Linked DNA regions of Mus musculus. The protein of the gene in region 6 interacts with the protein of the main gene of each other region in a pairwise test. Links are inferred from orthologs where the notes say so. Each region holds a gene or a part of one and is shown on either strand. Other genes may lie near its edges. The genes, in order: Efemp2, Miip, Plscr3, Saxo1, Trim42, Stk16 and Kctd14.

What was found.
Region 1: the proteins of Stk16 (region 6) and Efemp2 interact in binary tests that used the Homo sapiens proteins (3 or more experiments, as listed by UniProt). The two-hybrid records come from large-scale screens. The link is inferred for Mus musculus from reciprocal best matches to the Homo sapiens genes STK16 and EFEMP2.
Region 2: the proteins of Stk16 (region 6) and Miip interact in binary tests that used the Homo sapiens proteins (3 or more experiments, as listed by UniProt). The two-hybrid records come from large-scale screens. The link is inferred for Mus musculus from reciprocal best matches to the Homo sapiens genes STK16 and MIIP.
Region 3: the proteins of Stk16 (region 6) and Plscr3 interact in binary tests that used the Homo sapiens proteins (3 or more experiments, as listed by UniProt). The two-hybrid records come from large-scale screens. The link is inferred for Mus musculus from reciprocal best matches to the Homo sapiens genes STK16 and PLSCR3.
Region 4: the proteins of Stk16 (region 6) and Saxo1 interact in binary tests that used the Homo sapiens proteins (3 or more experiments, as listed by UniProt). The two-hybrid records come from large-scale screens. The link is inferred for Mus musculus from reciprocal best matches to the Homo sapiens genes STK16 and SAXO1.
Region 5: the proteins of Stk16 (region 6) and Trim42 interact in binary tests that used the Homo sapiens proteins (3 or more experiments, as listed by UniProt). The two-hybrid records come from large-scale screens. The link is inferred for Mus musculus from reciprocal best matches to the Homo sapiens genes STK16 and TRIM42.
Region 7: the proteins of Stk16 (region 6) and Kctd14 interact in binary tests that used the Homo sapiens proteins (3 or more experiments, as listed by UniProt). The link is inferred for Mus musculus from reciprocal best matches to the Homo sapiens genes STK16 and KCTD14.

Annotation. Positions count from the first base shown.
Region 1 is NC_000085.6:5,477,603-5,480,151, reverse strand, and holds part of Efemp2 (EGF-containing fibulin-like extracellular matrix protein 2 isoform 1 precursor), read right to left. Parts: coding exon 2,468-2,549; intron 2,226-2,467; coding exon 2,109-2,225; intron 1,952-2,108; coding exon 1,832-1,951; intron 351-1,831; exon of another isoform or gene 334-350; intron 123-333; coding exon 3-122; intron 1-2. UniProt on the Homo sapiens protein: Plays a crucial role in elastic fiber formation in tissue, and in the formation of ultrastructural connections between elastic laminae and smooth muscle cells in the aorta, therefore participates in terminal differentiation and maturation of smooth muscle cell (SMC) and in the mechanical properties and wall integrity maintenance of the aorta.
Region 2 is NC_000070.6:147,865,895-147,870,238, reverse strand, and holds the start of Miip (migration and invasion-inhibitory protein), read left to right. Parts: upstream 1-1,519; 5' UTR 1,520-1,870; intron 1,871-3,819; 5' UTR 3,820-3,881; coding exon 3,882-4,004; intron 4,005-4,224; coding exon 4,225-4,344. Other genes in the region: Fv1 (Friend virus susceptibility protein 1), read right to left, coding at 1-1,260.
Region 3 is NC_000077.6:69,845,325-69,849,593, forward strand, and holds the start of Plscr3 (phospholipid scramblase 3), read left to right. Parts: upstream 1-1,292; 5' UTR 1,293-1,367; exon of another isoform or gene 1,368-1,583; 5' UTR 1,584-1,744; coding exon 1,745-1,751; intron 1,752-2,010; coding exon 2,011-2,249; intron 2,250-2,332; coding exon 2,333-2,375; intron 2,376-2,478; coding exon 2,479-2,699; intron 2,700-2,889; coding exon 2,890-3,051; intron 3,052-4,269. UniProt on the Homo sapiens protein: Catalyzes calcium-induced ATP-independent rapid bidirectional and non-specific movement of the phospholipids (lipid scrambling or lipid flip-flop) between the inner and outer membrane of the mitochondria.
Region 4 is NC_000070.6:86,555,454-86,559,597, reverse strand, and holds the start of Saxo1 (stabilizer of axonemal microtubules 1), read left to right. Parts: upstream 1-1,294; 5' UTR 1,295-1,582; coding exon 1,583-1,623; intron 1,624-4,144. UniProt on the Homo sapiens protein: May play a role in the regulation of cilium length. Stabilizes microtubules at low temperature.
Region 5 is NC_000075.6:97,359,904-97,363,620, reverse strand, and holds part of Trim42 (tripartite motif-containing protein 42), read left to right. Parts: coding exon 1-735; intron 736-3,717.
Region 6 is NC_000067.6:75,209,128-75,213,635, reverse strand, and holds the start of Stk16 (serine/threonine-protein kinase 16), read right to left. Parts: upstream 2,808-4,508; 5' UTR 2,584-2,807; exon of another isoform or gene 2,478-2,583; intron 2,397-2,477; 5' UTR 2,308-2,396; coding exon 2,222-2,307; intron 1,712-2,221; coding exon 1,492-1,711; intron 1,037-1,491; coding exon 903-1,036; intron 751-902; coding exon 630-750; intron 524-629; exon of another isoform or gene 504-523; coding exon 408-503; intron 61-407; coding exon 1-60. Other genes in the region: Glb1l (beta-galactosidase-1-like protein precursor), read left to right, coding at 4,196-4,255, 4,414-4,508. UniProt on the Homo sapiens protein: Membrane-associated protein kinase that phosphorylates on serine and threonine residues. In vitro substrates include DRG1, ENO1 and EIF4EBP1. Also autophosphorylates. May be involved in secretory vesicle trafficking or intracellular signaling.
Region 7 is NC_000073.6:97,449,999-97,454,259, reverse strand, and holds the start of Kctd14 (BTB/POZ domain-containing protein KCTD14), read right to left. Parts: upstream 2,927-4,261; 5' UTR 2,776-2,926; coding exon 2,714-2,775; intron 1,141-2,713; exon of another isoform or gene 949-1,140; coding exon 798-948; intron 1-797.

The DNA.
Region 1 (2,549 bases), on a different chromosome or scaffold from region 6:
ACCTTGGCAGAGCCTTGTAGCCAGCAGCTGGTAGCCTTGTGGGCAGTGACAGGAGAATCGGCCTGGCTCGTTGACACAGCGGTACTGGCAGAGGTAACTGGAGTAGCCGCACTCATCGATATCTGAGGGAGGGCGGGGATGAGGACCCTGGGCCAAGGGGAGGCCTCACAACTGAGTCCCACAGACCTTGACCAAGAGAGAGGGAGCCCAGCACCCCCATAAGGATGGATGTGGGAAGAGAGAAGGAAAGAAGGAGACCCACAGTGCTCAAGGGGGGCTCAGGTTTCAGAGGAAGGTTGGGGGCTGGGGATAACTCAGTGGTAGAGTACTTGCCTAACACGCTTGAAGCTCTAGGTTCCATCCCAGCAAGGAAAGGGAGAGGAAAAAGAAAAGAAAAAGAATAGAAAGGTTTGAAGCTTGGCATGGTGCTATATGTCTATAATCCCAGCATTTGGGAGGTAGAGGCAGGTGGATTATACCAAGTTAAAGGCCAGCCTGGTCCACATAGGAAGCCAAGCCAGGATTATATCAAGATCAAGGCCAGCCAGGGCTACATAACAAGACCATGCCTTGAAAAACAAACAGTGGGGTGTTTGATCCCAACATCTGGGAGGCAGAGGCAGAAGCAGGCAGATCGGTTTGAGGCAGCCTGGTCTACTACATAAGAGACTGCAGGCCAGCCAGGGCTACACAGTGAGACCCTGTCTTACAACAAGGAATCTTCCAGCATGCGGAGCACCTCTCTTCCCCAGGACTTTAAGACTTAACAAAGCATTCGCCTAACATAGTGGCCTGTGCCTTTGATTCTAGCACTACCCAACAGATCTCTGTAGACTAGCCTGGTCTACACAGAGAGCTTTATAACAGCCGGGGTTACATAGACTCTGTCTTAAAAAGCAGCAAGAATCTAGAGGCTTGGGCCTAAGTCCTACTAACCCATTTTAGAAAGGGTCCACATTGTGCCAGTCAAATGAGCAGGTGCCCCAAGGGGATAGCCGCTCTGTTCTTTTCAAGTCTTGCAATATGCGGTCAGAATGCCCAGACTTGGGCTAAGTGTGTGCCCCCCACCCTACCCCGAGCAGCATCCTATCTCTTTGCTTTTGTTCCTTTCACACAGCCGAACACCAATGATCCTGTGCTTCCCGGTAAAGCATAAAGTAAATGAGGGCATGCCAGGTAACACAGTGAGACGCCTGGGCTCACACCCCAGCCCGGCTCATCTTTCCCCTCTGAACTTGGACAGTCATGTCAATCTCAGTAAGTGGAAAGATGAAAGTCAGTACTTTCTCTGACCTCTCTGCTTGCTTTCCACAGTTCTGCCAACCTGGAGGAATATTAATGTCCTGTTTTACAAAAGTCAATCATCCCTGGCCAGACTAAATGAGACTGAAAATTTTAAGTGATAAACAAATGGTGCTTCCCACTATTTCTGCCTGAGACTTGATGAAGCCTGTTATCACTGCCCCTAATACTCAAATAACCTGTCTGCAGTAGACATGTGCCCAGAAAGAAGAGAAAACTTTCCCCAGTGTAGGATTCCAATGCAAGTCAACTCAACTTTCAGGAAGACTGGCACCTCCATCTTCTCTGTCTCTCTGGCAAGCTTCAGAAGCCCCTAGCATAGCATCCCCTCAAGCTGGGAGTGCCAAACGACAAGCTCAAGACGGAGCTTAGGGAGGCCTGTGAGTGCAAGGAGACGTGCGGAAGCCCCAAGCAAATGACCATGCGCCTGGAGTTGCTCCAATATGTTGCAAGTGCTAAGGGAGGCGGCAGAGGGGGGGGAGGCGGGGGGGGGGGGGATGCTGTATCCAGTAGCACAAGTGACTCTCACCGCTGCAGGAGAAGCCATCCCGGTGCAGCTCATAGCCCTGGTTACAGCGACACAGGAAGGTCCCATAGGAGTTGAAGCAGCGCTGCTCACATGGGGCTCCCATGTCACACTCATTCACATCTGAGGGTGCGAGGACAAACAGGAGGGTGAGAGCAGTGTCACGCCCAGACCCCCCCAAACACACACACACACTCAACTTGGGCTCAAGAAGAAGATCCTGCCCCCACGTCACACATCTCCACCCAGGATCCCAGAACCTTGTCTGGCACAGCCTCACCCACACAAGAGCGGTTGTTAGGTCCCAACTGGAAGCCTGGCTCACACTGGCATCGAAAAGAGCCCGGCAGGTTCACACATCGATGCTGGCAATAGCGGTAACGACACTCATCTATGTCTGAGATGGAGGTGGGGGAGGGAAAGTAGAACACAGGCCAGGTGGGGCCTGAGTTGGCTCACCTCGGCAACCACCCCTGCCCGCCCTCGTCAGCGAGCTGGGCTGAGTCACCCACATTTAATCTTCCGTGTCTAGTGACAGGAGTGCACTAGTAGCAGAGGACTGGGGTGAGGTAAGGCATCAGACCAGGAGCCAGACCAAGGTCACAGAACAAGAACCTAGCAGAGCCACTCAGAACTCACCCACACATTCGGGTCCAATTTTTCGGTAACCATCAGGGCAGGTGCACTGGTAGGAGCCAGGAAGGTTATGGCAGTCCTGACT
Region 2 (4,344 bases), on a different chromosome or scaffold from region 6:
CACGCTCCCCACTGTTATGTCCTTTATACAGAGGAGGCTAAATACAAAGCTCTTCCAAGTCTCTCTAGTTTCCCGGACAAAAGTTATCCTCATAGCTCTCGTGATGGGTACATCTTCCGGGCCCCTCCACTGTGGACAAGTAGCTTTTACACAAAGCCACTCTATCATTCCAAGTTCCCTAAGCCTTTCAATCCCATCCTCAATAGAATACCACTCCAGGGTGTCAGGCGACTGCAGCTCTCTTGTAGTAGGCCATCTCTGGACCCATGCTTCAGCCAACCAATCAAACAAACTCTTCACACCATTATCTTCAACAGTGCGGGCTATGACATTAAACTCACTATCAAGGCTCAAAGGACCTAAACTGAGAAATTCAATCTGATCCAGTATTGTGAGCCTCCCACCATTATCCCACACCCTTAAAATCCATTTCCTAGCATGTTCCTTTGCCTTTTGGCGATTTGAGTGAGCAAGTGAATTGAGTTCATGATTAGTATGGCGGTGTTTCTGACTTGTAAGGTCAGACAGAGACTTGGGTCTGGTGACAGGTTCAGAAGTAACTAAGGATGTTGAAGACTGGATCTGAGGGGCATCTGCTTTGTCCTGCTGGGTGCGTTCTTTAGACAAGGCATAACCACTTTCCTCAGACAAGGATGGAGAGGCCAAGACAGTGGGCAACTCAGCTTCCTCAGACCCTTCAGAATCTATGTCCTCCCACACATCTCCATCCCAGGTTACCGGATCCCATTCTTTACCAATCAGTGCCCTCACCTTATCTGCAGACACTTTCCGGGCAGGCTGACACATGACCTGGGATTGCACATCAGCTAACCTCACAATGAGGGCTTCAGTCTGTTTTTCCCCAACTTCAATCCTGTGGCGGTAGGAAAGAAGAGTCTCCCCCAGGACACACTTAGAAGCCTTTAGATCATTTATGTGCATTCGGAGCTGGGAAATTTCATCTCTGAATTGGTCCCTTTCCTTTGTTACTTTATCCAGAAATGCCAGAAGCAGCTCGCCAACTGCGTCATAGTCCCTAATCTTGCAGAAATGTTCAAAAGTATGGTACACAGAGTCATTAAGTTCCTTACCGCTCGAAAAGGATGAATCGGGGAGATCGGCCACATTTATCTTCTGCAGCAGCTCACGCCATGGGTTAACAGTGTCATTATCCGGAGAGTCATTATCCGGAGAGTCCTCGGCAAGTTCAGGTTTGAAGAGCCAGCTCGAGAAACCAGCAAGCGCACGTGGGAAATTCATCTTCAGACTTTTGTTTCCCTAGAACTCGGCTACTGCGTCCTACAAGCCTCGGATCCAAATTCCAGTTCGTCCCTGGCAAAAGCACTCTGGGGAGTTGCTAGTGTGGGGTCCGCGTGAAAAGGTCAAAGTTGCCGGAGTCTCTAGCCCCACCTATCCACTGCCATTAGAGACTTTACATCCGGAAATTGCGTAACCGAGTACTACTGACCAACCAGAGCCTGTCCTCAATTTGAATTGGTAGAATTAGCATTAACAGTTAACCAATCAGCAATGAGGTCCCATTAGCCCCTCCTTTCCATATTGAAACTGCCGCTTCCGGATGCGAAGAAACAAATATAAGGCGTCCTGGCACTGTCAATTGGCCGAGCAGGACAGCGGCGGAGGCCCCGCCCCAGCCTTAGCCAATTAGGACAACCACTGGAGGTTCCGCCCCTGCTGGAGGCGGATTCCCCGGCTGCTGGGAATCTGGGCTTTCGGGCGGAGAGCGTTGGCGTCCTTTTATCCATGGCAGCCGCTGATCTCGGGACCACAGAGGCGTGCCTTCGTCCCGCTAGACCGGTAGAGAAGGGGCAAGCGCCTAGGCCCCGGTGTGCACCCTGCCTGAGTGCGCGTGAGTGAGATGCTGGGGTCTTCTCTGCTCGCCCCCTGCAGCCTGCTCCGAAACCCAAGTCTCCAGGGGCCTGTAGGGTGGCAGGGCTGGGAAGGATAGGGGGGTCTGATTCGGCTGGAGGAGTCTGGGCTGGGGTTGTAAGAGAAGTGGGAAGTGCTTCTTTATATTGCAGACATCTCTTCCAGAAGCAAAAGAAAGTGTCTGGAGAGACGGCTCAGTGCTCTTAACCACTGAGTTCAATTCCCAGCAACCACATGGTGGCTCACAACCATCAGTAATGGAATCCTACGCCTTCTTCTGGTGTGTCCGAACAAATAAATAAATCTTTGAGAAAGAGAGAGAGAGAGAGAGAGAGAGAGAGAGAGAGCCCCTGAGTATAATTTTTGAGGACCAAAGCTGGCCGGAGAAGGGGTGGGGGTGGGGTTTGTGTCCCAGTCAGGGCCATGCTTTCCTCCGTGCAGACCCTTCATAGGGAGTCATGTGTCAACAAAGGTTTATTTGCCCCAGAGCACAGCCAACAGAACAGAGAAACGATTCCACCCAAGTGTGGCTGGGTGAACCAAGGAGTGTACGTATTGGGGTCATGACCCAAAGGCAGCTACATCACTGACAGTCCCACCGAGCACGGGTTCTGATCCACCCCCGCGCAGCTTTCAGGCAGCTCCATCTGAGAATGCTCTCCCCTGGACATAGTTTAAATCAACCTTGTGGAGGGAGCTCTAGGAATTTGCAGCCTTCTGAAGAGATTCTCTCCTCCCACCATCAGGGAGAAGTTTGAAAGTCAGGGGAAGTAGCCACTGCACAACAAGCAGGAACCTACATTTTGGTTCAAACCCTGCTTTTGACATTTAGTAGCTGTGTGACCTTGGGATATACATGCAAATTAAAGAAAGGAAGAAAGAAAGAAAGAAAAGCAAAGAAATGAATTGACCAGGAGAAGACTTGTGGCAGAGAAAAAGGCTTAATGCTTCCAGTTCTGGGTTCAGTGCCAGCTCCAGATAGTATGAGACCCCGACTTAGAGCGTTTCTCCCTGGAAGGTAAAGCCCCTAGACGTTCCCCAAGCTTGTTTTCCCTGATCTCTAAAAATGCAGCCAGAAAAAAGCTCTTTGTTCTCTATAGCCAGCAAAAAGCCTTTTTGTTTCTATACTTTACAACCAGAGATGCCTACCTTCCTGTGCCAATGACACGGAGATAAAAATTCAGAAAGAACTCACTCCCCACTCCTGCCTTGTAAATTTCACCAAGGACACCCGGAAGAGAACTCCTCCCAACTCTTCCTAACTCCTCCCAACTCTCCTCCCAACTCCTCCCAACTCTTCCTAACTCCTCCTAACTCTTCCTAACTCCTCCCAACTCTCCTCCCAACTCCTCCCAACTCTTCCTAACTCCTCCCAACTCTCCTCCCAACTCTTCCTAACTCCTATCAACTCTCCTCCCAACTCCTCCCAATTCCTCAGCTAGCTGTTAAAAGCCCCCTAACTGTCACCACTCAGGGTCGAACTCCCCTGCCCTGCACAATAGCACAAGTCATTAAGCTTTAAATTAGCATGCTGCACTAGTCTTTTCTATATGATAAAGGAGTCAGATTAATATTAAAAATAAGTTCTTATATGTGTGGGTATAGGGCAAGCACATGCCCTGACCCATGAATGTATGGAGGTAAGAAGACAATTCATGAGAGTCAGTTCTCTCTACTCTGTAGGCCCTGGGAATTGAACTCAGATCGTCAAGCTTGGCAGCAAGCACCTTTATCTATTGAGACGTCTCACAGGCCCCAGGAATTAGATTACATAGGGAAGGCCCAGTGGGAGTTGTCGTCTCTTGGCAGGCAAGGAAGCAGAGAGGATAATAAGTAAACAGGGTGAGGCTGCAGGGTGATGATCTTAATCTAGGCCTGTGTGGCAGGGTTCCTCCCTCATTTTTCTTGTCATTGCTGTTTTGACTTCAGGTGGAACCTAGGGTCAGCACCTCTGCAGCCCAGAGACAGTGACATTACTGTGAGAAGCCCGCATGCCCAATATGGCAGAGACTAAAGACCCCGTTCGGCTTCGGCTGCTTAGCCTGGAGCTCCTGAAGCAGCTTTGGGCTGGGCACGAAGCCATGTGTCGGTCGGTGGTGAGAGCAGCATCAGGGGTAGGTGGCTAAACTTGGTAATGCCCAGGTGTCGAGGAAAGACAGTTTATGCTGTGATGCACCCATTTCATTGACGGTGCAAAACTGAGGCCTTGGGAGGAAGGGACTGGGTTGGGATACCCCAAAGCCACAGCAGGGTAAATTACAAGGTCCACAGCAAGCCAGAGTGCCTGGGCATTGGCTGGGCTGCTGCCTGGGTAACCTGACCTGTTTCTTACAGTCAAACTTGGATTGTAGCAGCAACAACTTAGAGATGCCACTGTCCCAAGAGACTTCTTCCGCTTCCTCAGTGGCCCCCAGCTCACAGGACAAAAGACACATGTTGGACCCACTGGACAGT
Region 3 (4,269 bases), on a different chromosome or scaffold from region 6:
CGCTCATTTGCTGGGTTTTCAGCACTAGTAAGAAGTACCCCCAAAGGAACGGGATCTTAGAGGTGAAAGGTCAACAGAGAGACCAAGATATATGAAGCCAGGGATTGCACGGGCAGGCAGTAAATGACATAGCACAGCAAGGCAAGGGGGAGGAGGGGTCTGTGCTGTGCAGAAGGGTCTCAGAGGCCTAGCATGACTCAACTTGCAATTTTCTCCTTACATCCTATCTCTGAGGCATAATGAAGTCATGTTCCCTCATATACACATCAACACTGCCTCACTGCCCTGGTCTCTGGTGCAATCCACCACAGTAGGACCAGATTTCTGTAAGAACCTCTCCCTTACCTTGGCCTGCCCACAGCCTCCTGGGTTGTTCTGACACAGTAGTTCTCAGTTTAGGCTGTACAATAAAAACTAGAATTCTAAGAATCCCTAGTCTGCACCCCAAGCACTAATATACAATTGATAGGAAGTTAAGACCCAGGCACAAGTGATGGGCTAGTTTCGGCTTTGTTTCTTTAATATCTCCCCTAGTGACCCAGGTCACTCCCAAGCTGACCTGGAACTCGCGATCCTCCACACCTGCCCAGATACTATGCTATCTTCTTTTGAGGAAAGGAGTCTTTTGAGAGAGTCTCCCTATTGTAGCCCTGACTTGGTCTGGAACTATGTAAAACAGACTGGCCTCATACTTGTGACTCTCCTCTTGCCTCTCCTTTCCCAAACGCTGGGATTGCATGTTTTGCCTCCATACTGGGGAATGGAGGGCCTGTTCTGTTCAAGTGTCTTTCCCTGAGCCTTACCTCATGCACATTCATTACTGTTACCTTTTGAAAGTCTGTCACGCGTGTAATGGGCGTGCCTGAACTGAGAGGTGACTGAGTGGGTCAACGCTGTGACAGGGGGAGAACACAGCGAGGTCGCCCTGAGAAGAACACCGAGCCAAGTCTGGGAGGCAAGGAATGAGTGTGAATGGTGTTCCGCTGCGTCAGCGAGGCCCGCCCCGCCCTTGGGAGGAGGATCCCGGGGACCGGAGCAGCCACGCGGTGGGGAGGCAGAGCAGCAACCCGCGGAAAAGGCGAGGGTCTTGCTGCTGGGGATAGGGCCGCAATCACCCTCCAACAGGCCAGGTCTCCAAGCCTCTGCAGTCGGAGCGGAAGGGGCGGAACCACGGTGAACAAAGCGCACAAGGTCCAAGGTCCGCGGCCCCGGGGGAGGAGAAGCGCCTGCTTTCTGCGCAGTCGCCCCGCCCGGACTGGGGGGCGGGACTTAGGCGACCCGGGGGTGGGGTCAGATCTGGGCCCGCCTCCACCAGCGCCTGTGAGCCCCGGAGTGCGTGGCCCCCCGACTTATTCTGGGGGCTTCAGGTGAGCCGGACCATAGAGGGGTTAAGGAGACTTTCCTCGGGGTCAGGTCATCTGTCTGACCTCAGGACCATCTGCCCTGCCGTCTGCCAACAGCCATCTCCGTAGAAAAAATGGGAGAACAAAGGGAGGGGGCGGTCCTGGGGCCCCTAAGAAAATTCAGGGTCCTAGGTACCCCGCCCCGCCCGCTGACACTTTCGGTTTCTCCCCGAGTCTTAGGTGCCGCCCTAGAGACCCTGGGCCCGTACTGGGCGCAGCTACCTCTTCGCCTCTGCCTGTCCGTCTTTGTTTCTGTGTCTGTCTAGCTGTTCCCGAGCTTGTCCCACTCCAGAACTAAGTCTCCCCTACGCCAAAAGCCCAAGACTCCCCTCCTGATTCCCATGGCAGGTACGTTGACGCTAGGTTGGGGTCTCCATTATTCCCCCCTGCCCCCACGAAATTGGGTGCCGGGTGTCGAACACATTCTCCAGGAATGTGCTCAGACTGGCTGCGTGGGGCCCTCCCTTCCTCCTGGGGAGCCACCGCCCTGCCCCTCCGCCCCATCATTCTCTGCCTCTTCTTACGTTTTCCGCGGGTGCTCCTGGTCCTTGGGCTGTGAAAGAAGAGTCCACAGATAACTTTCTAATCTACTCCTGCTCCCCTACAGGCTACTTGCCCCCCAAAGGCTATGCCCCTTCACCCCCACCTCCCTACCCCGTGCCATCTGGGTATCCAGAGCCGGTGGCTCTGCATCCTGGACCGGGACAAGCTCCAGTGCCCACCCAGGTGCCTGCCCCTGCTCCCGGCTTCGCTCTCTTCCCCTCGCCAGGCCCAGTGGCTCCAGGGCCTCCTGCTCCTTTCGTGCCATTGCCAGGGGTGCCTCCTGGCCTCGAATTCCTAGTGCAGGTGAGTGAGAGAGAGGATGGCTGGGAGGAGAACTGAAGTTCGAGGTGACGGATAAGGTCAACGCTGCTCTTAACTCTTTACAGATTGATCAAATCTTGATTCATCAGAAGGCTGAACGAGTGGAAAGTGAGTAGGAGATGGATGGAGCAAGATGGGCTTCATGATCTTTATGGCAGTGGTTAGCTTCTGGGCAGGTGGCCCCCGAGCCTCAGCGTGTTGCCCTTCCCAGCGTTCCTAGGCTGGGAGACCTGTAATATGTATGAACTTCGCTCCGGAACCGGACAGCAACTGGGTCAGGCAGCTGAAGAGAGCAACTGTTGTGCCCGCCTGTGCTGTGGTGCCCGCCGACCATTTCGAATCCGCCTAGCGGACCCTGGGGACCGCGAGGTGCTCCGGCTCCTCCGCCCACTTCATTGTGGCTGCAGCTGCTGCCCCTGTGGTCTTCAGGAGGTGGGCATGGCAGGTTTTGGGGTGGTTGGTGGGCAGTGTATGGTAAGCAGCGCAGAAAGAGTTGTGGCTTTAATAGGAGTGGGGGCGGTTTAGTTGAGGGTCTGAACAGTCAGAAGACAGCTGGCACCAGTGAAGAGCGCTGGCCAAGGTGTCCTGGCTTGACAGTAATCCTGTCTGCTTCCCTTTCCAGATGGAAGTCCAGGCTCCACCTGGCACCACCATTGGCCATGTGCTACAGACCTGGCATCCCTTCCTTCCTAAGTTTTCCATCCTGGATGCTGATCGCCAACCTGTTCTACGAGTTGTAGGGCCTTGCTGGACTTGTGGCTGTGGTACAGACACCAACTTTGAGGTATTATGAATTAGGGGGCGGTGATTTCTAGGCTCTTCACAAACCAAGATTGGGGGCGATGAGCTGGCTCAGAGGGTGAAGGTACTTGCCACCAAGTTTGACAACCTGGGCCCTAGCCATGAGTCCCATATTGTAGAAGACAGTTCCTGCAAACTGTCCTCCCCACACACATGCCATGGTGCACGCAATCAATCAACCAAGCAATCATTCAATCAGTCAATGTAATTAGAAAAACAAGAAGAAAAGGCAGTAGCCTCCGTGCTAACGGATGACTTAAGGTCAAGACCTGTCTGAAACCAAAAATGTCTTCTTCAGTCCAAGACTGCATGTTCCCTACAGCCCTGCAGGGCCTTAGGGAGCATCTGAGGCCAGCCTGCATCTAAAGTGGAGGACTGTTATCTCCCAGTCTTCCACTGCATACATTTGCCATGGGCTCGACCCAGGTAGCCCCTGTGCTTATCTGTAAGCATAGACCCTTTCATAATTTAACCCTTGGCTTGGCCTGGAAACCTAGAAGTCCAAATGACCCATCTAACCAGAAGTCCAGGTGATGTCCTTCTCCCAGAGACTTCCTCTCACCAACCCAGGACCAGAGGAACCCAGCTGGTAAAGACTCCAGAGTGAGGGTTGGGAGACTCTCTGGCTCCTAGCACTGCTCGGACTCTTGAGTTCTTTAAGGGATGAGTCCCCATTCTGATAAGGGAGAAACAACAGGTTTCATCCAGTAGAGGTGCTTCACCTAAGGTTGCCTTTTAAAAAGTGAGTCACCTTAGTAGTCAGAGGCAGTTTTTGTGGCCGAGAACCGGTTGGAGAGGAGATAATTGTGTGATCTCCGCGATGGGAATGTGTACGCTATGGGGTTCTCAGGGAGTCAGTGTCCCTTTCACACAATCCTGAATGGTCCATGCGTGAGGCACACTCTCAGGACTGCAGAGTTGGCAGCAGTAGACTTTGCTGAGCCCGGGACTAGGCTGCAGGAAGTTCCCTGCAGCTGCAGGAAGAGGCAGGAAGAGGATGAACAGGAGGTAGAAGGAAATTACTTCAGTTCTAGTCACTGGACCAGGAAGTCACTGAGATACCACTTAGTTTCACATGCCTTGTTATTGCGGAGCTCCAAGAGGCCAGCGAGAACCACAGTCCTCAGAGGCTACCCGTTGGCCCGTCAGCTAGGATTAGGTAGCCTCTAGATGAGGCTCATCCACAGTGCTGGAAAAGATT
Region 4 (4,144 bases), on a different chromosome or scaffold from region 6:
AGCTCTCTGGTCCACATGGTAGAAAGAGGAAACCAACTTCTCCAGGTTGTCTTCTGATCTCCACATGAGTCTTGGCCCACATGGCTCTCTTTACCCAGAACCTGCGATAAGCAAATGTAAAATAAAATAAAATAAAATAAAATAAATAAAAGCAACAAAAAGAAACAGTAATGTTTAAGTCCAAACATTCTCCTATAGTAGTAGACTGTATGGTATGCTACCGCACTTCTTTTGCTTGCTTTTGAGAAAGGGAGAGCCATGTAGCCCAGAACTTGCCTCCTTGCCCCAGATGCTGGAATTCTAGACTTGTGCTGCCACACCCAGCTCGAGAGCAGAGGCCCTTGACTTTGTTTTATTGTCAGAGTAAGCTGCTATCTTGTGAAAACACAATTCCCAGAATAGTTGTTTTCACTGCTTTGAAATAGAGTGAAGTCTCACTTTGTAGCCCAGGCTGGCCTTGACCTTGCAGCAACCCTCCTGCCTCAGTCTGTGCCGGGATCACAGGCTGAAGCCATCATGTGCTCTGACTGGTGGTTATTTGATACAGGAGATTCCAGGGCAGAGGTCTGCAGTGGTTTTCAGGACCGGCTTAGATATTAGGGAAGAGAGGTCAGAGGCCACAATAGAAGCTCCATAGCTGCGCTCCTTGAAGTGTGGGCTCTGGGCCAGCATCAGTAGCATCATTAAAAACTTGTAAGAGACACGTGTTTTCTGGAACCCATATTTCAGAAACAACAAACTCAGGGTGGGGTCTGGCAATCTGATTTTTGTCAAGCCTTGAGGTTCTGATGCTGCTAACATTTGAGACGTCCCTGCTTCTAGGCGTCATTACCTGAGCAATAGAGGGCTGGACCCTCTCATGCTGCTTTGTTCTCAAAAGCAGAGGCCTGTGGTTGAAAGCAATTCCAAGATGCAGGCAGCCAGGTATAGATTTTCCAGGAAGATCTGGAGATGGAATTCAGGGTCAATATTCTGGAGGTCCGGGCATGCATTTCCTCCAGACGGACAATGTGTCCTAGGGATGGAAAGTGCCACCCGACAAGATACTTTTCATTGTCTTTGCATTATGTGACCGTGCTGTTGGTTAACTCTGGGACTCGGAGGCTTCCTAAAGCCCTCCAAGGTATCTTCCATCTTCCTTCCAAGTTCCAGTGGGAGAGTCCCTGTCTTGGGTCTGCCAGGTGAGATACTAGGTGAAGTCTGACCTCACAGGAGGCCCTTATGATGTCATTGCCACCTCAAGATGCCCTCCTCTGTGACTTTGAAGGTCATAGAGGACTCAGTCCTGGGCCCTGTGGCTTGCAGGGGCCAGGCTGTGCTGGCAGGTGGGTGCTTCCCACTGGCCGCAGTGGCAGCAGCTTACAGACGTGAGCCGGCCTGGCTTGCTGTCTGTGCTAAGTGCTGCCTGTTTGCCCAAGGCCAGCCTCAGGAAAGGAATAGACTACAGAATTTTGCAAAAGGGCCACCTAAGTTTCCTTCTGAGCAAAACAGCATCGGTCAAGGCACCGAAGAAGTGTGATCGTTGTCCCAGGCAGCTGGGATCCTCTAGGCGATTGCCTTAGTGGAAAGTCCGAGGTGAAGGATGGGGAAGAGGACTTGCATCTGCAACCTGTGCTCCTGCGGGTAAGGTAGTCCTCCCAAGGGCAATCTGGGGAGGGGAGCCTGATTTTCACACTCCCTAGGGTGCCAAGCCCCTTTCCTGGAACGAAGACAGGATGTGTCTTCTTCATCCCGCTGCTTCGCTAGGCAGCATCGCACTGGATTCGGGTTTTAAACTGCAACATTGTTGACTAATATTTGATGCACACATGTCGAATCAGCGCTGATCAGGTAGTGTGTGTGTGTGTGTGTGTGTGTGTGTGTGTGTGTGCGCGTGTGTGTTTTCTGCAGGGTAGAGATTCAGGCACTTTGAGAGTGGGCTGGGCCCAGCCTTGTCTACATGCTGTTAAGACATGATGGAAACCCTGGACAGGCTGGGGCCGGTCTTGTTTCTTCTGTTGCAATTGTTAGAACAATAGTTCTTTTGTGTGGGTGAGTTTCTCACTTACAGAAATTGGTACTTTGGGAGCCATAGTGCACGGGCACCAACTGTTGCAGTGTTGAAATAAATAGCTAATCCAGGGGCGAGTTCGCTGTAGTTTTTGGGCAGGATGCCTTTCTGCCCCTTGTCTTCAGGGCCATGATGGTGCAAAGCACAGTGAAGGCAGGGTTTTGGAGAGGAACGTTGGGCTGCGGTCTCTGAGATGGTCCTTCTGGCTGCTTTGCCAGGACAGCTAGGGAACTGCAGGGCTGTGCCAGCCAGGGGATAGCAGAAGGGGCAGTACATAAACTTGCTTCCCAGGCTTCTGGCTAAGACCAAGTGAAAGGAGTGGCCTCGGGGACTAGCCCTCTGGGGTTGTCACTAAATGTGGGATCTGGGCTAGGAACCGAACGTCTCCCCATTCAAATTTCCCTAGGAATACTCTCCTCACAGGACTATTACAAGTGAAGGGATAGGGTGTATGTCTATGCACATGGATTCTATCTATTCTGTTAATACCCTAAGATCTGCAAAGGATTTTACAGCTACATATGTTACATGAAATAACAAAATTATTGTATTTGGGAGAATAGGTTAAGAGGACACTCTGAAAACAGAAGACTTTGAATTCTCAGGAATCAGTGCTCATTAGAGTGGACTGGGAACTTTAAAATAGGTGTCATTGCTCCAGCTGTTCATGAGCAATCTCTAAGGACAGTCCCATCAGCAGACTCCAGATAGATACTGCCATTTCCCAGAATTCTGAGCTCTGCTACCTACAAGTGTGGCTCTTGTTTTCGAGGTTTGTCAGGTGGGACCAGCCAGTGTCCAGGGCTAATTTTTCATACTACCGAACATTCAGTTTGTTTTTTTTTTCTAAGACTTTGCTTCCTTGTGGGGCCTTTTGCATCACTCCTGGCTCCATCTCTGCTCTCAGAAGAGTGGGGTTGAAGTCTTTGAGTCCCATCTTTGCACAGTATGTAGTCTAGGAAGACGGGGACTCATCAGGGGTGAGGAACGTAGAGTCAGATGACACCTCCATTCCTATCTGATGTCCTCAGATTCTCTTTTTCCCCCACCCTGCAAAGTTGCTCCTTCCACTGGATATAAAGTCTTTCTGGCATGCCTTCCTTGCCTCCCCCTCCTGTGTCTACTTTACGGTTCTGTCACGTGCCTTGGGTCTGACTCTCATGTTGGTCAGTCTTCCCTCCTGCCTGCTTAGTCTATTTTAGTTTTTTTTTTTTTCCTGTGATTTTGATGGGGCATCTCAGAGTTCAAAGCAAACTTTTTGGTCTCCACTCATGGTTCCTTTGTCTTGCTTTTTTCCCCTTTTTGAAAATGCGTCTACCTTCTTCTGCCTCCTAACCTTTTAAGATCTTGCTCATGTTATAAGACTCCCGTCTGGCTCAGTCCTATAGACCCCACCTAGTACAGAGGTAGGACCCCACTTCCTATGGTCTTTTAGCTATGTGTATGCCAGCTTCATATCTAGTGATGGTGTGCTCTGGAACAGCCAAGCTCTGTTTTTGTATGCTTTGTGATACTGACCTGTTGAGTAGTCAGAACACACCTTTGTAGGATGGTGGTGGGATCTGTGGAGTCCGTTAGGGACATACAATCTGGAGTGGTGCTGTCTCCAGTGCTTGCCACATGATGCCATTTTACTTCAGTGAATTACAATTGAGGGCTTCCCCAACTTCCTCCAGCCACTTGAGGGCTGGAGAACTATTTTAGTAGCTAAGAGCATTGTCTGCTCTTCCAAAAGACCCCGGATCAGCCTGGCCTGGGACACACTGTGTATAACTGGGAACTTCTGTTTCTTCTGTTTCCATTTCCCAAGTCCTGGGATTAGAGGCCCATATTACTATTCCCAGCGTTTCTTTGGCTTTTGAGTTTTGTTATGTAGTCCAGGTTAGCCTTCAACTCATGATTCTCCTGCTTCAGCCCTGCTGCTGCCAGGATTGTAGGCATGTGTCACCATGGCTAGCTCCTTAAATATGATCTCACCTGTAGTACATGATACTCATCAGTGGGGGAAGGCCTCTATTTTTGGACATCAGTGGGAAGAGCAGCCCTTGGTCCTGTGGGAGTTTGATGCCCCAGTGTAGGGGAATGCCAGGACTG
Region 5 (3,717 bases), on a different chromosome or scaffold from region 6:
GTCCGGAATGGTTTCCTCAAACTGCGAGCCATCCTTCAAGAGAAAGAAAAGATCATCATGGAACAGATAGAGAATCTGGAAGTGTCCAGGCAGAAAGAAATTGAGAAATATGTGTACATTACGACCATGAAAGTGAACGAAATGGATGGCCTGATTGCTTACTCCAAAGAAGCCCTGAAGGAAACAGGACAGGTGGCCTTCCTGCAGTCTGCCAAGATCCTGGTAGACCAGATTGAGGAGGGCATCCAGAATACCTTCAGGCCCGACCCTCAGCTGCGGCTTCACTCCCTACACTGTATCCCCTTGGATTTTGCTGAACTCTCCAATGCCATCCACGAGCTCTTTCCCACGGGACCCAAAAAGGCTTGCTCCTCTGGGGACTCACTCCCTTCCCAGTATCCTATCCACTCAGAAATGATGATCGCCAGGAAGGTGACATTCAGCACCCATAGCTTCGGCAACCAGCAGATATACCAGCGGAGCTCTTCCTTGATATCCTTCAACACCGCCAATGACAAGGGCAAGATGGGTCTGGAGAACTACGGGAGAGCCCAGTCTGCCGCGCCCGCCAAGACGACTGACGGCCTTTACACCTACTGGAGTGCCACAGGGGAAACCCAGCCCCCGCAGAGCAGTAACAGCTTCCACAACTGGTATTCCTTCAACGACACCTCTGTGAGGACCCCAGGCCCAATTGTCATCTACCAGACACTGGTGTACCCAAGAGCTGCCAAGGTATGACAAAGGGAAGGGTGAAGTACAGGGCAAAGAATAAAAGAGAGAGGTCAGAGAAGGTTGCCTATACTGCTTTGGCCTCTAGAATGTGGTCACTTGAGTCTACTCCTCTAGACTCTTTATAGTCAACCTAGTCAGTAGGGTAGGGTCCTGAAATGTCAATTAATCCAGTCAGTGTATTGAGAACATAATGATAAGTGCGTGTAAATCCCAACCCTACTTGATGGGCAGCCTTTCTATTGAAAGAAACACAGGCTAGGAAGAAGGCTCAGTGGGCAAGAGGCTTGTTGTGCAAGCATGAAGAACTGAATTTGCATCTCCATCACACATGTCAAAGCCTGGTGTATATCTGTGCTTCCAGTGCTGGGGTGGCAAAGGCAGGGGGTCCAGGGTCTTCATGATTGGCAGGGGATCCAGGGTCTTCATGATTGGCAGGGGATCCAGGGTCTTCATGATTGGCAGGGGATCCAGGGTCTTCATGATTGGCAGGGGGATCCAGGGTCTTCATGATTGGCAGGGGGATCCAGGGTCTTCATGATTGGCAGGGGGATCCAGGGTCTTCATGATTGGCAGGGGATCCAGGGTCTTCATGATTGGCAGGGGGATCCAGGGTCTTCATGATTGGCAGGGGGATCCAGGGTCTTCATGATTGGCAGGGGGATCCAGGGTCTTCATGATTGGCAGGGGGATCCAGGGTCTTCATGATTGGCTAGTCCAGTGGAAACAGTGAACTCCAGCTAGATGACAGGCCCTGCCTCAGGGTTAGGTAGGTAAGTAGACAGACAGACAGACAGATTTATAGATAGTAGAATATGGGAGAGAGAAGACAGTAGAAGACAGTGTCGATTCCTGGTCTTTACAACACCAGAAGGAAGGAAGGAAGGAAGGAAGGAAGGAAGGAAGGAAGGAAGGAAGGAAGGAGGGAGGGAGGGAGGGAGGGAGGGAGGGAGGGAGGGAAGGAAGGAAGGAAGGAAGGAAGGAAGGAAGGAAGGAAGGAAGGAAGGAAGGAAGGAAGGAAGGAAGGAAGGGAAAAGAAGCCAAAAAGAAGAATCAAGTTGGAATTAAAGTTTCAAACTGGCTTGGGAGGTCATGGAAGTATGGGGAAGAGTCCAGGACTGAATTAGGTGAGCAGTCTCTGCTGTCTGCCAGCTGTGTGTTCCTTTAAACTGTTATTTCTCTTAGATCCAGGCTCCCTGGGGTTTGAAAAGATTCAGATGACCATCCCAGAACCATTCCAGTTCTCTGCTGAGATCCATCTTCTGTCTTAGGGGTGATATGGAAAGTGGAGTGTCTTACAGGTCTCCATGCCTGCATCACCTGTGACAGCACAGGCTACTGGCCATCTTAACCTAACACTGAACAAATACTCTTTGCCTTACTGTCTCTCTGAAATCCAGCTGAGCCTGAATTGAATTGCCTATGGAGTATGTTATTTAAACTCCAAGAGGCAAAAGGGTTGCTGGGCAACTGGAGTTTCTGGCCTCTTTTGAGGTTCCTGCATGGACACACCTCCCAAATTACTTCGTGGTCTGCTTCCATATGGCACGGCTCATCTTTTATCCCTTTCTCAAAGACAGTAGGCATCTTGAAATGTGAACTAGTGGTTCCAAGCACTACCATCTCCTGCAGACTTGTTAGAAGGTAGATTCTTTGTCGTTGGATTTCCAGGCCTGAGAGTCTAGCTCTCACAAGCTGCCAGGTATTGCCAATGCTGCTGTCTGCAGACTGCACTTCAGTAGGTAGGGTCTAAACACAAATGAAGATCGGACAGAGACCAGGTTTTACCTTCTCCCTCTGTGAGACATTGTAATGCTTCAGAGGATAAACTAGTACCACAAGAAATGTGCCAGGTAGAACAGCACCCTCCTGGAGACCATCAAATACAGCATGGTGCCCCTCCCTGTCCTTCACACAGAAATGGGGTACGGGTGACATCAGTGAACTCTGGCCACGCTGTATCTCATCTCATTGACACCCCCTGCCTCTCAGAGAGTCCACAGCCCCTGTTCTGAAGCAGAAGGGCTGGTGGGGTCTGCTCCGTACTTGGACTTGGAGAAGTCACATGCGCTGCATAAGAGTTATCCTTGGATAAGTTTGAGAGAAGGACACCTTCTGAGACAACCAAGCAAGTCACTGCCACTTCACCTACGGCCTGACAGTGATCTAATGTAAAATGATGACGATGATGATGATGTAGAAAATCCCTGTTCCAGGGTCGTAAAATGGGCCTTTTCCAGGATTCATTGTGCTCTACAATGAAAATAATTTAAGTCTATGTAGACAAGACTCCTAAATTTTCAGAGCTTCAGTATGGAAAATGTTCAAGTTGGTCTTAGAAGATTATTAGTATGTATTCCAAAACTCTAGAAATCTTTTGATTCAATTTGAATTTTAGAAATAATTTCTTAAGAACTGTCCTCCTCAAAAAAAAAAAAAAAAAAAAAAGGATTTATGCCCCAAAAATATTTGTTCCAGCATTTATCTGAGTACAAAAGCAGAAAAATCTAACTGCTCGACTGTAGAAAGGGTCAGTTATTTTAGAAACAGTGTTTTATATAGTTCCATTACATTTATTCATTTTATCTCTGTGTGCATGTGTGTGTGTGCGTGTGTGTGTGTGTGTGTGTGTGTGTGTGTGTGTATGTGTGTGTGTGAGAGAAAGAGAGAGAGGAGAGAGAGAGAGAGGAGAGAGGAGAGAGAGAGAGAGAGAGAGAGAGAGAGAGAGATGCCAGAGCATACATGTGGAGGTCAGAGGACAACTTTGAGAGTACCAGTTCTCTTCTTCCACTGTGGGGCTCCTGGGAATCAAACTCCAGGTTGTTGTCGGGCTTAGCAGCAAGCACCTTTACTCTCTGAGCCATCTTGCTGGCCTCTATGGGCAGTTTTTTTGACTGTATAAGACAGATGAACTGTAAGTTAAGAGAATAAAGCAGAGCCTTGCAATCCCAATCCCTGCATGAGTGTGCTTGCATCTCCCCCGGC
Region 6 (4,508 bases):
GAACACCATATCGTAAGGGCCTTCCCCAAACATCATGGCATAAAGCACACAGCCTAGGGACTGAGCATAATTTGGTTAGTTCCTGGAAGGTGAAAAATGTCATCTATCTCCTTATTGCTATGGTAAAAGAAGACCATGTAAGCTAAATATATGCCAACCTCACCCAGAGGAACCATGTTGGCAGGAGGGAGGCCTCTGTGGCCCCTGCTTAGCTAGTGCCACAACGATTGCACGGCTTCCTGAGAACAGTATCAGTGATGGTTCTCAGGAAGGAAGTAGACGGTTGTGGAGACATCCTGTGGTTCTGGGGTTCCATGCAACAGAAACCAAAGGTCTCCTTCCCTGTACTCCAAGAGTTACAAAGCCACACCCTTCCCCACCCAGGTTCCCACCCACAAGCTCCTCACCCAGACATCAGTCCGCTCATCGATGACACAGTGGCTTTGCACAGAAAAAAGTTCAGGTGCCCGGTAGGAGATGGTGCACCGCTGAGCTGCCCAGTCCTGGAACAGTGTCCCCAGAGCTCAAAAGTGGAGCACAAGCCATATCATGTGACCAAATTGGTGCATGCATCAGAATGATCTGGGGATGGGGAGGAGATGGCCAAAGAAACCAGGAGACTCTCTTACCTGAAGAGCTAGTGCCTGGCGAGAGCCCTCCACTTGAATGCATGCTTGATTCATAGAACCCAAGTCCATTAAAACTGGCTGCCCCTCATCACCAAGCAAAATATTGGTGGGCTTCAGGTCCCTGGAGGGAAGTGAAAATGACCCAAAGGCGCCCTGGGCAGGGAAGCTGGTATCCCAGGGAGCACCATGGAAAGTGCAGAGAAACCCCAATTCTCTTGGCACTGCGCTCCCTCCCCACTGGCTTCATCAAATGCATAGGGCCCGCCCACTGACCTGTGTGCATAACCTTTGGCATGAATAGCCTCAAGGCCTCTGCTGATACCCAGCAACAGCGGCAGGATCTGGTCTTCAGTCAGGAAGCTGCCTTGGTCCTTCAGCCTTTCTATCTCATTCCACAGTGTACCTTTCTACAATACAAGTTTCCCTGTGCTGAGACATTTTTCAAGCCTCTACTTCCCAGGACTCTATTTTGTATCTGTCTGCCCACCCTTTTACCATAGCCACTCTTCCTGATCCTTTGGGGGCTTTGTGTGATGTCAAGTTCACAGGGGACCCTATAGTCCTCTGAGCCCCAACTTAAGAATGGCCAAAACTAGCCAGGCAGTGGTGGCGCATGCCTTTAATCCCAGCACTTGGGAGGCAGAAGCAGGCGGATTTCTGAGTTCGAGGCCAGCCTGGTCTACAGAGTGAGTTCCAGGACAGCTAGGGCTATACAGAGAAACCCTGTCTCAAATAAACAAACAAACAAACAAAAGGCCAAACCAGGGCATGTGCTCCTAGAATGTTTATGTTTGCCTGCCCAGAGCCTCTGGTGGGGTTGCACAATGTTACAATCCCCTCTGTAAGTACAGGCTTCTCTGACCTTGAAGAAGGGCAGCAGCAGCCAGGCTTCATGCTTAGCACCTCGTTCTTTCAGAGAGTAAGCCATGAGGCGAAGGATGTTGGGATGCTGGAAGAGGCGATGCATCTCTGCCTCTCGTTGGGCTTCTTCCTGGTCTTGCTGCTCATGGCACAGGATCCGCTTCAGGGCGTAGAAGTGTCCATCATGCAAGCCCTCCACTAGGTCCACATAGCTGAATCCACTGTGGGCCAAAGGGGTCACAGTGAAGGACCATGGTCATCTCTCACATAGCTCGGACCCAGAGGAATTCCCTTAGGGAGGAGTGCCTCTTACACAGAGTGGAAACACTCCCAAGATGTAGCTCTCATATAGTTTCAAGACATTAGGATCTGCGTTTCCCGAGAGCAGGGGCACAGAAATCACTGAGGTTTTGGTCTGAGCATAATGTGTTCAATTAATTTCAAGTCCTCATGAGTCAGGCACTGGGTGACATGCTTTAAAGAATATACTATCTCACTGAGTTTCCACAAGTCCCTCAGCGAGACATTATAATCATCTCCTTTTAAGCAGAAGAAACCACAGTTGACTTAAGGTCACACAAGGTAGATCCAGGAGGCCAGAGTCTAGAATCCACTTCTTGACCCGTTCAGCTAACCGGTCAGGTGGGGTAGACTCTAAGGCTAACACTCTTGCAACTCTATCACTGTCTCTAAACGACCTGGGTCTAGCTAAGTGACGTCCAAACACTCACCCTTCCCCCAATTTCTGGACGAAGAGGTAACGCTTATTGTCAATGATGACAGTTCCCCGGGAGCAGACACACAGTGCGTGGCCCATAACGTCTCAGTCATCCTCTTCAGGGATGGTCTTCCTTCCAGGGAGAGTGGGCTCTTCCAGGCGATGCGGTGGGGTCCCGGCGGGTCATGCTGGAATGGAAACAGCAAGTCGCGGGTTCAAGAACAATCTAGACAGCCACGGAGGTACCAACCAGGAGAGCTCAGGCTCACCTCCAAGAACCCATATTCACGTCTAAAGAAAACTGGCCCTGGCGACTCCAGCGCTAAGAAGGCTGAGTTCTGGCACCCCAAAGCCTCAGGCCACGCTGCGTCTTACCAGGCCGCTTCTTTCAACCCCGGCCCACCTTCGGCCAGGTCCAGCTCTCGCACCCGTCAGGCATGGGGTGGCGGCGCAGGAGGTGCGGGGCTCGAGCCCACCTCTGGCCGAGTCCACCCTCCGTCGCTCGGGAACGAGCACAGGGTCTGCCACTACAAACTCCACACCGACCGGTCTCCGGCCTGTGCGAAGGGCCAGGGACCGGAAGCCCGGATGACATCATCAGTCCGCGTCGAAGTAACGGCCCGCTGTATCCTAGCAACAAGAGGCGGCAAGAGGATGTGGGGACCCGGAAGTGAGAGGCTGGGGCCCGGCTAGACCTGGGGTGTATTGGTTTCTCTATCTCGCCGAGGGTTCCCACTTGGCCCTCAGTAAGGGTCAAGACGCAGGGACTAGTACCAAAGGGGAGCAAAGCAGGGCTCTGCCCGAGGCCCCTAGGACCTCTGTCTCCCAATGTCAGAGGTAGGAGGTCTTATAGCTCCCGCGCGCTGGAGTTAGAAAGTGGCTTTCTACAATCTAGCTTGGAGGAGGGACCAGAGAAGGGCGGGTGCTGACCCTTAGATGCCAAGAGGTCTGACCCCTTAACACTCTCAGGGGTCTAGCCTGTACTCCACTGCCTTGGCTAGTGTCTGTGTCCTTAAACTAGAGTGCCCGTTTCTAAACCTGGTCCTAACAGTCTCCTAGCTGTGTGGCCTCCTGCAAGTTATTTAGTCTTTCAGATCCTCACTTTTCCCAGCTGTAAGACAGTACCTACGGCTAAGTGTCGTGAGTTATGAGGCCAAACTGACTAGTTCCAATCCCAGCTCTACTGAGCTAGTTGTGACTTTGGACAGCTACTTGTTATTTCTAACCTTCATTTTCCTCGTGTGTAAGATGAGAATGAGAGTTATTTCATGGGTTGTTTCAAAATTAAATGAGTTGTCTTTCGTACAACTTTGGAAACAGCCGTATATCAATGTGTGTCAATAAACAGAAATAATAGTATTTTCTACGGCTGTGAAGGCAGGAGAAGTGGAAAATTAGACTTCTAAGCCTATGAACTATGCAGTTTGTTTCACATCTCTTGCCTAGACAGGCAGAATATATTGGAAAGGGGTGTACCTCCAAAAAAGATAGTGACCAGGACAGGCTTCTTGTAACCCCTTTCCACAGCATGATCACTCTGAAGATTTTCTAGGTTTTTCCACTGTTTCTGAATCCGTTTTAACCTTACTGCTCCCGTGCATATAGATTTAACCTGATATGTGCCGGATCCTTTGCTAGTCATGAAGATTTAAGACACCCTGTCAGCCCTCCGAGAGTTCAGTTTAGAAGAGCAGGTTTGTTAAAGCACAGACTCTAATTCTAGAGGTCTGGGGTAGGACCCGAGATTCTGCGTTTCTAACAAGCTCCCAGGTGATGCTAATGGAACTGATTCGGGTTCAGCACTTCGAGAAGTAATATTTTACAAACTAGTGGACCGTGGATGGCTACAGGCAAAGTCCGGGTTAACGGCCTGAAAAGTTGAGGTGGTCTCCGCCCCTTTGCTTGATGTCGGATTCCCTCCCAGGAATCCAACACGTGACGGGTGGGAAAGCCCTCACCGAATAGAAGAACTTTGTAAGCTCAGAAGATGCCACCCGACCTGCCTTCCCTGCTGCTGCGGCTTGTGGTCCTACTGCTGCTGTCCCAGGTAAACCCAAAGGGTCGGACTGTCTGCCTGGGTGTGGGGAGAGGAAAACGGATCCCGCAGTGGAGAAATGGTTAACTACCGACAAGGCCAGTTTTAAAACTTGGCCGACACTGATCCTTACTCCGGACCTCTGCTGAGCCAGGCTTTCGCCCTTGCAGGCAGAAGCTCGCTCCTTCGTTGTGGATCGGGAACATGACAGATTCCTCCTGGATGGGGTCCCCTTCCGCTATGTTTCTGGCAGCCTGCACTACTT
Region 7 (4,261 bases), on a different chromosome or scaffold from region 6:
CTTTGTTGTTCCTGGTTTTTGGGCAGTTGCTAGGGATCAAGTCCAGGTCCTCCCAAGGCTAGCAAGTTGCCTCTGCTACTGAGCCAAATCTTGGGCATGACTGGAGTATTTAGATATTTTGAGTGTGTGTTCAATGAACTAAAACCGAGTTTGTGTCTTCCTGTATGGACATGTATAGTCTTCATCACACTTCCTTCTTGGGGTCTAGCACAGCTTTGAGAAAATCTCCAGTGTTGGCCTCATCACCTTCCCTTAGTCTTTCTTCCTTCTCCCAAAGTCCAGGGAGTCCGTGAGAGAAGGCCAGTAAGCAGAGAGGGAGTGCTGGAGCTGGCCAGTGTGGGAGTCAGAGAAAATCATCTGTCCAGGCAGGCTGGATATGCTACCTCTACCAGGTGGCAGAGCCACTGGACTGACCGAAGGAGCCACCTCCCCCACCCTCCACCTCCGGGACTACACCAAGCTAGAGGTTTTCAGAGGAACACACGCAGGAACTAAAGCAGACTAAGTGCAGACAGAGAGCAGGGGAGAAAAGGGCAAATGAGAGACTGCACAGAGCTAGGTGGAGCCAGAGGCGGGAATGCACAAGTAGCAAAGAAGTTTACTAACAGGCACAAAAGAGAAAACTCCGGAGAAGAGCGTGGAGGGGCGGGGCGGGGGAGGGTGTCGATTGGGGGTGTGTGCGGGACTAATAGAGGATAGGGGGCAGATAATGGAATGGAGCTAGGAAAGCGCCGGCAGGGGTTGGAGGTGGGGTGTTCAGGACAACCAGAGCAGCGGCCACGCAGGGGTGCACTTACGATGGCCGGGTCAGGGCACAGGATCCGGGACTCCTGGCTGGACTCCTTGAGTAGGTTTACAGGCAGAGCCTCCTGACTGGGTTCCTTGAGCGATTTTGCGGGCTGAGACTGCTTGCCGGGCTCCTTGATCTGGTTTGCGGGCAGGCTCATCCTGGCAGGAAAAGACGGCTCTCAGCTCTCGTTGGGTACACAACGCTGTCTTGAGTGGATAACTTATGGGCAGGGAACAGTCCTGCCACGTGTAGATAACTTACCAGCCGGAGAGGTTCCTGACACCCCGCCCCTGAGGAACTCTAAGTCTGTACCTCCCACTTGGCCTCTTTGGTAAAACTCTTCTAGTTAGTGCTCATTTAGCTGGATTAAAGACTTAAGGACATGTTCTGAGACATCCAGCACGGACCCCATTGGTTCTTTGGGCAGCCATCAACTTCAAGTAACCTGTAATTTCTCAGAAACGGGGAACTAGGAGACGAATCCTGGGGCTCTCTGAGGGTAGGATGTCAGACCAGAGACTATAAAATAGTAAATTGGAAGAAAACCATCTGCCACTCAAAGATAGATGTTGTGAAACTTGTCTGTTTTATTCCTTAGTTCTGTGCTAGAAAAGACTTCTTTAAAAATACTTACGCTACAGGGGAGAACCCCGATGGATCTATGGCTCAGTGTGGTCAGCAGCAGGGACGACCACCAGAAATTTAACAAAAATGAAACTGACTAGGTAGTCAAATTAATACTTGGCAAAGAAAAATAAAAACTGAAGCAGAGCTATAGCTCAGTGGTAGCACACTCCCTTAGGATGTATGACATCTGGGTTTGACCCCCAGCAAAACACACACATACAGGCACCCCACTAGGAAAGAGGAAAGGAAGGAAAGAAGGGGACAACAAAACCTTCCCTGAATGGAAGTATAATTAAACCAAGTTTCAAAGAATGTACACAGATAGCAAGCAGTTCATCAAACAAACCCACAGCTCAAAACCACAAAGCACAAAAGGAAACAAGGCAGAGGGGGAAAAGTCAACAGAAACCTGTGGGGGCCCCTTAGTGCTGAGACTGTTGGGATACAGTGGGAGCTTACTTAATGTCATTAAACAAATAAAAGCAAGCATCTAAAACCTGAGCACACTGGGCTGCAGGCACGGCTAAGTGGTGGAGCGCTTGCCTAGCGTGCACCAGGCCCGGAGTCCCATCCACACAGCTACAAAACAAAAACCAAAGAGTGACTTAGACATGAGTAAAGAACAAGGACGTACGAATTTTTAAAAAGACCACGGAGATTTTTAAAAGTCAAATAGACCCACAAAAATGAAAAGCTCAAGTAGCCGAAATAAATCATAAGTGCAGTTGAGAAGGAACTCAGGAAACGCCCTTGAAGGAGCAACGGTGTATATGTATACTATTCTTAGGCAAGAAAATTGGAAAATAGAAGAACAAAATGCCTGAACTTGTGGGGATGAAGGAAAACAGGTGCTCAAACCTTGCTGATTGGAATATGAACTGCTGTGACCTTTAGACATTAATTGGCCATCTCTACCAAAGGGGTGGGGGAAAGAACCCTACTTTTGGGACTCCATCCGACAGAGATAACAAAAAGCACCGTTCTGAAGGGTATGTGGGTGAATGTATTTGCCACTGATCTGTTTGTGTTAGCAAAATTAGATAGTTAACAGTTGACTAAATCACAGTCTGTCTGTGCCATGCAATGTTATGTGTTAAAAAGAGAGATGGGGGCTGGAGATATGGCTCAGCAGTTAAGAGTGCTTGCTGCTCTTTCAGAGGAGGAGAGTCTGGTTCCCAGCGCTCACATCAGGATCTTCACAACTACCTGCTAACTCCAGCTCCAGGGAAGCTGATGCCCTCTTTTAGCCCCATCCACCCACCCACAGGCACATGCACACCCCACATGCACACATACCTGTAATTCCAGCACTTGGGAGGTAGAGGCAGGAAGAGAAGATAGTCAGAGTTCAACATCATCCTTATTCTTGGCTACATAGCAAATTTTAGGCCAGCTTGGGATACACTGTTGGGTTCAGGGTAAAAGTTGAGAAAACTCATTTCAGATATGGAAGCTTAAAAATGAAAGCTTTGTTTTCTGAGCACTCAAGGAGGTGGCCAGTTCTGGATCTGAAACATGTCTGAGAAGAGGGATTGTACACCATCTTTAAAGGATGGGAACACAAAGCAAATGGGGGCTGGGGGGGGGTGCAGTGTTATCTAGTTGTGTGTGACATTGTGGGTTAAACAAGGGAGTAGCCATCAGAGACTGGGCTGCATCCAAGCACCTGGCTTCAAGGTCCTTGATTCACTCTCCTAAACATTAGGTCCGGAGCCCAGACTGATAAGGGAAAAGGAGCTGCTTGGCTGCACGTAGTCAATTAGGGCAGAACAGGCAATTGTTTATGCAGTTATAGAATGTATGCACTTTCTGTATTCTTTACCAGGTAATAGACAATTGAGAAAACAGAAGTGGGATAGGTGTTCATTCCTAGGCCTGGGAGCATGAACTTGTTTGACCTGCCAGCAAGATGGACAGGTTGTCCCTGAGATGTGTGGACTCAGACAACTGTGTATAACAGAAGATGTTCAGCCATTGGGAAGTCCCCAGCTGCCCTAAGGCCTGGGACCTTGAATTTATTTTTCTCCCTTTGATTAAAAGAGTCTGAAAGTGAAATGGTAGTACTTAAAATAAATTTCTTTTGCTTGTTCCCAACAACACGAGAAGAAAGAGACAAGAAAAAAGTAAGCCTGGAGAGGTGTCTCAGTAGAGCCATTAAAAATACTCACTATGGCTGAGTGTGGTGGTGCATGCCTTTAATCCCAACACCAAGGAGGTAGAGGCAGGGGATCCCTATGAGACAGAAGCCAGCCTATTCTGCATAACGAGTTCCAGGCCAGCCAGATCCTATCTCAAAAGAAAAACAGAAACAAAACAAAACCAAACAAGCAAACAATAAACAAACAAGACAATACAAGACAGCAAAAGCCAAAATCAACAACTCAGTATAGTGGTACAATTTGTAATCCCAGAGCTGGGGAAATAGATACAGAAGGATCCCTGGGGCCTGCCTGCCTGCCAGTCTAGTCTAATTGATGAACTCCAGACCAAGAAGAGACCCTGTGTAAAGACAGACAGGATGACACCTGAGTTGTCTTCTAGCCTCTACACACATACATACACATGCACATGTACATACACATATACATGCTGCTCCATAAACACGCACAGTTAAAAATAATAAAAAGAAAAATAGAATAGTATTACAGCAGTCATGTAGTGGGGATCTGCTGGTGAAAACCATAACGAGTATAGCAAACCATCCTCGTGCAAGTTTGTATCTGCATTTATCGGCATTCTCTGTGTAGCCCTGGCTGTCTGGGAATTCACTCTGTAGACCAGGCTGGCCTTGAACTCAGAAATCCGCCTGCCTCTGCCTCCCAAGTGCTAGGATTAAAGGCGTGC